2 linked regions of the Callithrix jacchus genome follow. The protein of the gene in region 1 purifies or fractionates together with the protein of each later gene. This does not show direct contact. Links are inferred from orthologs where the notes say so. Each region holds a gene or a part of one and is shown on either strand. Other genes may lie near its edges.

The links. Proteins that work in one complex are often made in the same cells at the same time.
Region 2: the proteins of GPN1 (region 1) and POLR2E purify together in Homo sapiens (affinity purification with mass spectrometry; 3 studies listed by BioGRID and IntAct, with this or other methods). This does not show direct contact. The link is inferred for Callithrix jacchus from reciprocal best matches to the Homo sapiens genes GPN1 and POLR2E.

The regions. Positions count from the first base shown.
Region 1 is NC_133515.1:87,399,841-87,403,488, forward strand, and holds part of GPN1 (GPN-loop GTPase 1), read right to left. Parts: intron 3,438-3,648; coding exon 3,398-3,437; intron 2,346-3,397; exon of another isoform or gene 2,239-2,345; intron 1,981-2,238; coding exon 1,890-1,980; intron 1-1,889. UniProt on the Homo sapiens protein: Small GTPase required for proper nuclear import of RNA polymerase II (RNAPII). May act at an RNAP assembly step prior to nuclear import.
Region 2 is NC_133523.1:1,033,698-1,037,345, forward strand, and holds part of POLR2E (DNA-directed RNA polymerases I, II, and III subunit RPABC1), read right to left. Parts: intron 2,579-3,648; coding exon 2,463-2,578; intron 1,654-2,462; coding exon 1,573-1,653; intron 685-1,572; coding exon 626-684; intron 509-625; coding exon 430-508; intron 205-429; coding exon 139-204; 3' UTR 124-138; intron 1-123. UniProt on the Homo sapiens protein: DNA-dependent RNA polymerase catalyzes the transcription of DNA into RNA using the four ribonucleoside triphosphates as substrates.

The DNA.
Region 1 (3,648 bases):
CTGCCTCTACTAAAAATGCAAAAATTAGCCAGGCGTGTTGGCGCGAGCCTGTAGTCCCAGCTACTTGGGAGGCTGAGGCACGACAATCACTTGAACCCAGGAGGCAGAGGTTGCAGTGAGCCAAGATTGCACCATTGCACTCTAGCAACAGAGCTAGATTCTGCCTCAAAAATAAATACACAGCAAACATACATTCATACATAAATTTCAAGCTGGATGCAGTGGCTCACACTTGTAATCTCAGCACTTTAAGTGGCTGAGGTGGGCAAATCACTTGAGCCCAGGAGGTCAAGTACAACCTGGGTAACATGGCAAAAGCTCATCTCCACTAAAAATACAAAATTTAGCCAGGCATGATGGCAGGCACCTATAGTTCCAGCTACTAGGGAGGCTGAGGCAGGAGAATAGCCTGAAACCAGGAGGCAGAGGCTGCAGTGAGCCAAGATCACACCACTACACTCCAGTCTGGGTAACAAAGCAAGACCCTGTCTCAAATAAAAATGAATTGTTTAAAAAAAAATTAAAAACAAACAGGCAAAAACTCTTGGTCAAAAAGGTTGGCTAAAATAACAAAAATGGTTTAAAAAGAAATACGGAAAACCACCATGAGGAAAACCATAAACATTCTTGAAAGATACAAGTAGACCTGACAAATACAAAGACACTCCATGGTCTTGGGTAACAAGACTGAACATCATAGAGATGTCACTTCTCCCTAAATTAACTATGAATATAATATAATCCCAACAAAAATACCAAAAAGCTTTTTAGGGGACTAAAGTTGATACTCAGTTCATGTGGAAGACTATGTAAGGACAACCAAATAAAAATTATGAGGAGAATGTGACCTAGCAGATATTGAACATAATTACATAATTAAAACAACATGGTGCCGGGCGCAGTGGCTCACGCCTGCAATCCCAGCACTTTGGGAGGCCGAGGTGGGTGGATCACGAGGTCAAGAGATCGAGACCATCCTGGTCAACAAGGTGAAACCCCGTCTCTACTAAAAATACAAAAATTAGCTGGGCATGGTGGTGCGCACCTGTAGTCCCAGCTACTCAGGAGACTGAGGCAGGAGAACTGCTTGAACCCAGAAGGCGGAGGTTGCGGTGAGCCGAGATCAAGCCATTGCACTCCAGTCTGAGTAACAACAGCGAAACTCCGTCTCAAAAAAAAAAAAAACAACATGGTACAGTCATAAAAGTAAATAGTCCTTGCTCACCAAAGCAAGTTAAAGAAAAAAAAAAGTGGGCTGGGGACAGTAGCTCATGCCTATAATCCCAACACTTTGGGAGGTCAAGGCAGGAGGGCTGCTTGAGGCCAAGAGTTCAAGACCAGCCTGGACAACATCATGAGACTTCATCTCTATTAAAAATGTTAAAACTAGCCAGACATGGTGGCACACACCTGTAGTCCCAGCTACTCAGGAGAGGCAGGAAAATTGCTTGAACCCAGAAGACAGAGGTTGCAGGGAGCCGAGATCGTGCCACTGCATTCCAGCCTGGGTGACAGAGCGAGACTCCAACTCAAAAAAAATTTTTTTTAATGAAAAAAATTTAAAAATTGGGGAGGATTAAAAGTGTTAGAAACAAACAAACAACCCCACAGCACATATTAAGTGTATTGCCAGAGTAAAGCAAAAACTTCCTGAAAGAGGAATCCAAAGTGGTATAGCTGTATAAAATTTCTAGTTGTTTGCCTCTCCAAATCCTTTATTTTTAATATATATGTATGCATATGTGTTGTGTGTGTGTGTGTGTATATATATATATGTCTAAAACCATATTTCCTTTATCTTTTTCTCTCTCATACATAAATAGAATCCTGCTGAGTAGAAATAAATGTAACCTTTTTTTAGTTCCTAACACCAAGAAGACCTCCAATACCTTTGGCAGTCCCTGTGTCCAAGGCTACAGAACCCATATCTTTTCGAAGGCGTTCTAGTTGTTCTCTCTGATGTTGGCTTTCTGCATTTGCCTGTATATACAGAGAAAAATGTCATCATATTCAAAAAGGAGCCCCAAATTAGATGCCAGACTTCTCAGTGGAGATGAAGAATTATACACATACAGAGGCTACATAAAAACTGATGCAGATAAGGGACATCTGGTATCAGGAGAGAAACACTAAGCAGCATAAACCTGGGTTACAGCAGAAGTTCAGACTGGAGGGCTCTACACACTGATTTAAAGGATTCAGAAACTGAACACAAAAACATTTCAAAAGAACCCTCAATTCCAAACTATTGAGTTGAGTCCAGGGTGGATCTGGAACATATAAACGGGCTAGGGAAAATGCCTAGATAGAAAGCATTACTTTTTATTCATCCCCAGGCTACAAAATGAAAAAAAAAAGATACAATAAACTTTATTATATGGGGAAAAAACACAAAACTCTGAAGTAGAAATAACAGGAAGGCTCAGAGACACAGGACACAACGAGCCTAGGGAAGCAGGACACTTGATCATTTGCGATAAGAGAAGGCTGGGTGTGGTGGCTCATGCCTGTAATCCAGCACTACAGGAGGCCCAGAGGAGAGGATCACAGAAGCTCAGGAATTTGAGACCAGCCTGGGCAACATAGCAAGACCTGTCTGTGCAAAAAATATACAAAATAAAATTAGCCAGGGATGTGGTACACACATGCTGTCCTAGCTACTCAGGTGGTTGAGATGGGAGGATCACTTAAGCCCAGCAGGTTGAGGCTGCAGTGAGCCATGATTGTGCCATTGCACTCCAGCCTGGGCAACAGACTGAGATCCTTTCTCACTAACAGAAAAAGGAGTTGTGAACCACCACTATATTCTTTTTTTTTTGAGACGGAGTTTCACTCTTGTTACCCAGGCTGGAGTGCAATTGCGCCATCTCAGCTCACCGCAACCTCCGCCTCCTGGGTTCAGGCAATTCTCCTGCCTCAGCCTCCTGAGTAGCTGGGATTACAGGCACGCGCCACCATGCCCAGCTAATTTTTTGTATTTTTAGTAGAGACAGGGTTTCACCATGTTGACCAGGATGGTCTCAATCTCTTGACCTCGTGATCCACCCGCCTCAGCCTCCCAAAGTGCTGGGATTACAGGCTTCAGCCACCGCGCCTGGCAATATATTCTTAAACAAAATTCTACAACTAGCTTTAAATTGACCTCTGAAAAGGAAGAAAAATTAAGGAGCCTTTCTGTACCCAGACAACATACATACAAATTTACAAATTTAAATTAACAAGTATTTATAAGATACAGGAAACTTCATTAGCCAATTATACCTCAGTAAAGCCACAGAAAGTTTTTTAATTAAATAAAAGAAACATTAATAACCAAAACAAAAGCCCTTATGTCATCAGGATTGAGCTGGTTTTTTTAATGTCCCTTTTAAAATATACAAATGGCTTCCCTTCTTACCAGAGATTTTTTCAGACGTTCATATTCAGGCCGATACTCCCTGCAAAGAGAAACACTTTCTAAATTCCACTGTTTAATCATCAATCCTAACCACTCACCACTGCCCCTTATCTCCTCTATTTTTCTAGTATTCTGATAATAATAATATATCAGAAGTAACAAATCTTAGTCACTGACAGAGTCTACCTAACGGAATTAAAAGCCAAGGTGCTTGCTCCCACCTTGGAACTAGGAGATGCAATCTGACTGCT
Region 2 (3,648 bases), on another chromosome or scaffold:
GGAACAGGGCCCCAGGAGCTGCAGCCGGGTGCGGGCTGGGGTGCCCTGATGGCCCAGCACTGGGTGGGGCCTGCTGGGTGGACAAAGCCAGAACACCCCCACATCTGACCCCACAGCTGGTACCTGTCCAGGTGGCGGCTACTGCACCAGCCGGTAGGTGATGTACCTGCCAGCTGTCTCGCTGGGCCGGATGATCTTCACCACCTGTGGGGGCAGGAGCGCAGGGGCTGAGGCCTCACTACGGGCAGTGGGCAGCACACCAGCTGGGGAGGGCCCACAGGGGCCCGAGATGCTGACCCTGGGAACCTGGGGTCATGCTGTTCTCTGGGCCCAGTGTCAAGGAGGGGGCTGTTGGAGGGGACAGCAGCCCCTGCCGACTAGTGGTCAGCACAGAGCCCCCCCCCAGGGCCCCTTCCCCTGAAGGCTTACCTGTCCACGCTTTATCCCGAAATATCGAGCCACGGGGTCCCCTGCCTGGATCCTGGGCAGCTGGTTCTCTCGGAGCTTACTGGGAAGCAGGGTCAGGAAAACGCCGGGTGGAGTCATGGGGTAGGGGTGGGGGTGGGGGGATGTGGAAATCCAGAGGCACAGGTGGGGCAGAGGCCAGCGGGGCTGGAAAGGATACTATCGGGCCAGCAGCTCCGTCACTTCCTCCTTGGTCATGACGACATGCTCAGGGACCAGCTGGTGAGAGAGAAGGCCAGCAGACATCACCAAGGGCTGGGCCAGACCCCATGGGGCTCCCAGGTACTACCACCCGGCACTCAGAGCCTATCCTGCCCCACCCCAGCTCCACAGGCAGGGGTGGAGTCTGCAGGGGCACAGCTCCTGGAGCTTCTGAAGTAGATGGGCTGGGACACCGTCACCTCCTTTAAAGGAACGCGGCCAAAGTCAGACCTGGCTAAGCCCCACTCTGGGCTGAGTGCAAAGTGTGGCAGCTGACATGGCAACACCTCTGGCGTGGGTCAGGGTCAGCTGGGAGGCCCTCAGCACGGGCTGCTGCTGTCCAGCTCCTGGGACTCGACCCAGACTCCTGCTGGGTCAGTGGCACTAGGGTCCCTCCACACGCACCACAGTCCCTGTTCCATAGGCTGGGACGGGCCTGGGACCCTGCATCTTTTTTCCTTCTGAGACAGAGCTTTGCTCTGTCACCCAGGCTGGAGTGCAGTGGCGAGATCTCAGCTCACTGCAACCTCCTCCTCTCAGCTTTGAGAGGAGCTAAGATTACAGGCATGTGCCACCACGCCCAGCTATTTTTTTGTATTTTAGTAGAAACAAGATTTCACCATCTTGGCCAGGCTGGTCTTGAACTCCTGACCTTGTCATCCACCCACCTTGGCCTCCCCAAGTGCTGGGATTACAGGCCTGAGTCACCGATCCCAGCGGGATCCTGCATTTCTAGGAAGTTCTCGGGTTCAGCTGCTGCGGGCCCAGGGCCACCCTGTGAGGACCCTGCCTTCCATGTGCTAGCAGGAGTGCCAGCCCGAGCCCCGTATCCCACATCTTCCTGGCCACCTGCCAATCCTGCATCTCTGGGACCCCACAGGCGGGGCTCCGGGGCAGGGCACCCACCTCATGCTCTGTGATGTTGATGAGCAACTCCTGCTGTAGAAACTGCTCCAGGATGTACTTGGGAGCCATGTCAACCAGAGACTGGGAGAGAGAGAGACTCAGACACAGCCAGGAGGGGCCCTGACAACCCCAGCTCCATTTCCTGCCTCAGGCTACAGGCGGCTTACTCGCGTGCCAACAACACACCCCATGTCGTAAATCAGAACCCCCACCGCCAGCCCAGGGGCCTTCAAAAACCCACCCCTCCCCAGCCTCTCTGCTCATCCCAAGGGCCTCCTGTCACAAGCAGTAATGAGGCTGTGTTTCCACCCGTCAGACACTTCCACGGGCAGCCCTCAAGTGGGCACAGCGACCTCTTCCCAATACAGAGGCGCTGCTTTGTGTGGCTTTGTGAACCCAAAACCCAGTGGGCCAGAGACCAAGCTGCTCCACTGACTGCCTGTCGCAACACGGCTGCCTGGCTCACGGTGCCTGACAGACAGACGGGGGACATGGAGGTTCAGGAGTGTCCAACAGACAGATGGGGGACACGACAGGCCTCCTCAGCACATCCCGCTGGACATCAGCTCAAGAAAGAGTCTCTGGGTCCTGAAGGGTGCACCAGGCCAAGGGCTGGAGCCCACAGAGCTGGAGAGAGAGGCAAGGTGCCCTCTGCTCTGATGCCCTCCTGAGAGCCAGGGGAGGATGGCAGCTGCCTGGGATGGGGATGGGGTTCAGCACTGTGGCCCATGGACAGGGTGGGAGACAGTCGGGGCTTGCCAAACATCCGGCCACATCCTCCAGGGCACCCTGGCTGGCGTGGCCCAAGGCATGTGGGCCGCCTGCTGGCACCACCCAGGGGAGGCTGGGGAGGGTGAGAGGCTGGTGGGGGCTGGGGGTGGGGCGCTCACCTGCTTGGCAGAGGGCGTCATGCCCTGCTGCACCACGATGAGGGCGCGGGTGATGTTCTCCTCCTGCATGCGCTGGCAGTACACCTTGATGGTCTTGATGCCCACCTTGGGCTCCTCTGTGGACAGTATGCCGGCCTGTACCACCCTGGGCCCTCTTGGCCCTTGCCCACCTGGACCCCAGAGCACCCGGTTCCAGCACCCTCAGTACAGAATGCCTGTGTTCCAGTCCCACTCAGCACAGAGCGCCCGGGTCCCAGCCCCACTCAGCGCAGAGCGCCCGGGTCCCAGCCCCACTCAGCGCAGAGCGCCCGGGTCCCAGCCCCACTCAGCGCAGAGCGCCCGGGTCCCAGCCCCACTCAGCGCAGAGCACCTGAGTCCTAGCTCCGCTCAGCACAGGTGCTTCTCCCACTTGGGCCTCAGTTTCCACATTTGCAAAACGTGGCCTGAGTTGCAGAATCCTAGGACTGGGGAAGAGAGGGTTGATACCTCCCATTCACCAAGAGACGAGGACAGGGGCCTGACACCCCTCAGTCACCCAGTGACCAGGGAGTGAGGCAGAGACCCTTGACACTGAGCAGCTCCCACCCTGGGAACTTCTGGGGAGGCAGGTGACTCGGTACCAACCTCTCCAACAAGCACATGTCACACCCCAGGACACTTTAAGAAGCGTCACTGGAGGCCGGGCACAGTGACTCACTACGGTAATCCCAGCCCTTTGGGAGGCCAAGGCAGGTGGATCAATTGGGGCCAGAAGTCCAAGACTACCCTAACCAACATGGTGAAACCCGGTCTCTATTAATACAAAAAAACCTAGCCAGCCGAGGTGGGGTACGACTGCAATGCTAGCGTAACAGACTGAAGTGGGAGAATCACTTTAACCCTGGAGGCAGAGGTTGCAGTGAGCTGAGATTGCTCCACCACACACACACTCCAGCCTGGGTGACAGCAAAACTCCATCTCAAAACAAAAATGAAAAAAAAAAAAAAAAAAACAGGGTGCACTGGCTCACACCTGTAATCCCAGCACTTTGGGAGGCCAAGGAATGTGGATCACCTTAAGTTGGGAGTTCAAGACCGGCCTGACCAACACAGAGAAACCCTGTCTCTATTAAAAATACAAAATTAGCCGGATGTGGTGACAGGTGCCTGTAGTCCCAGCTACTCGGGAGGCTGAGGCAGGAGAACTG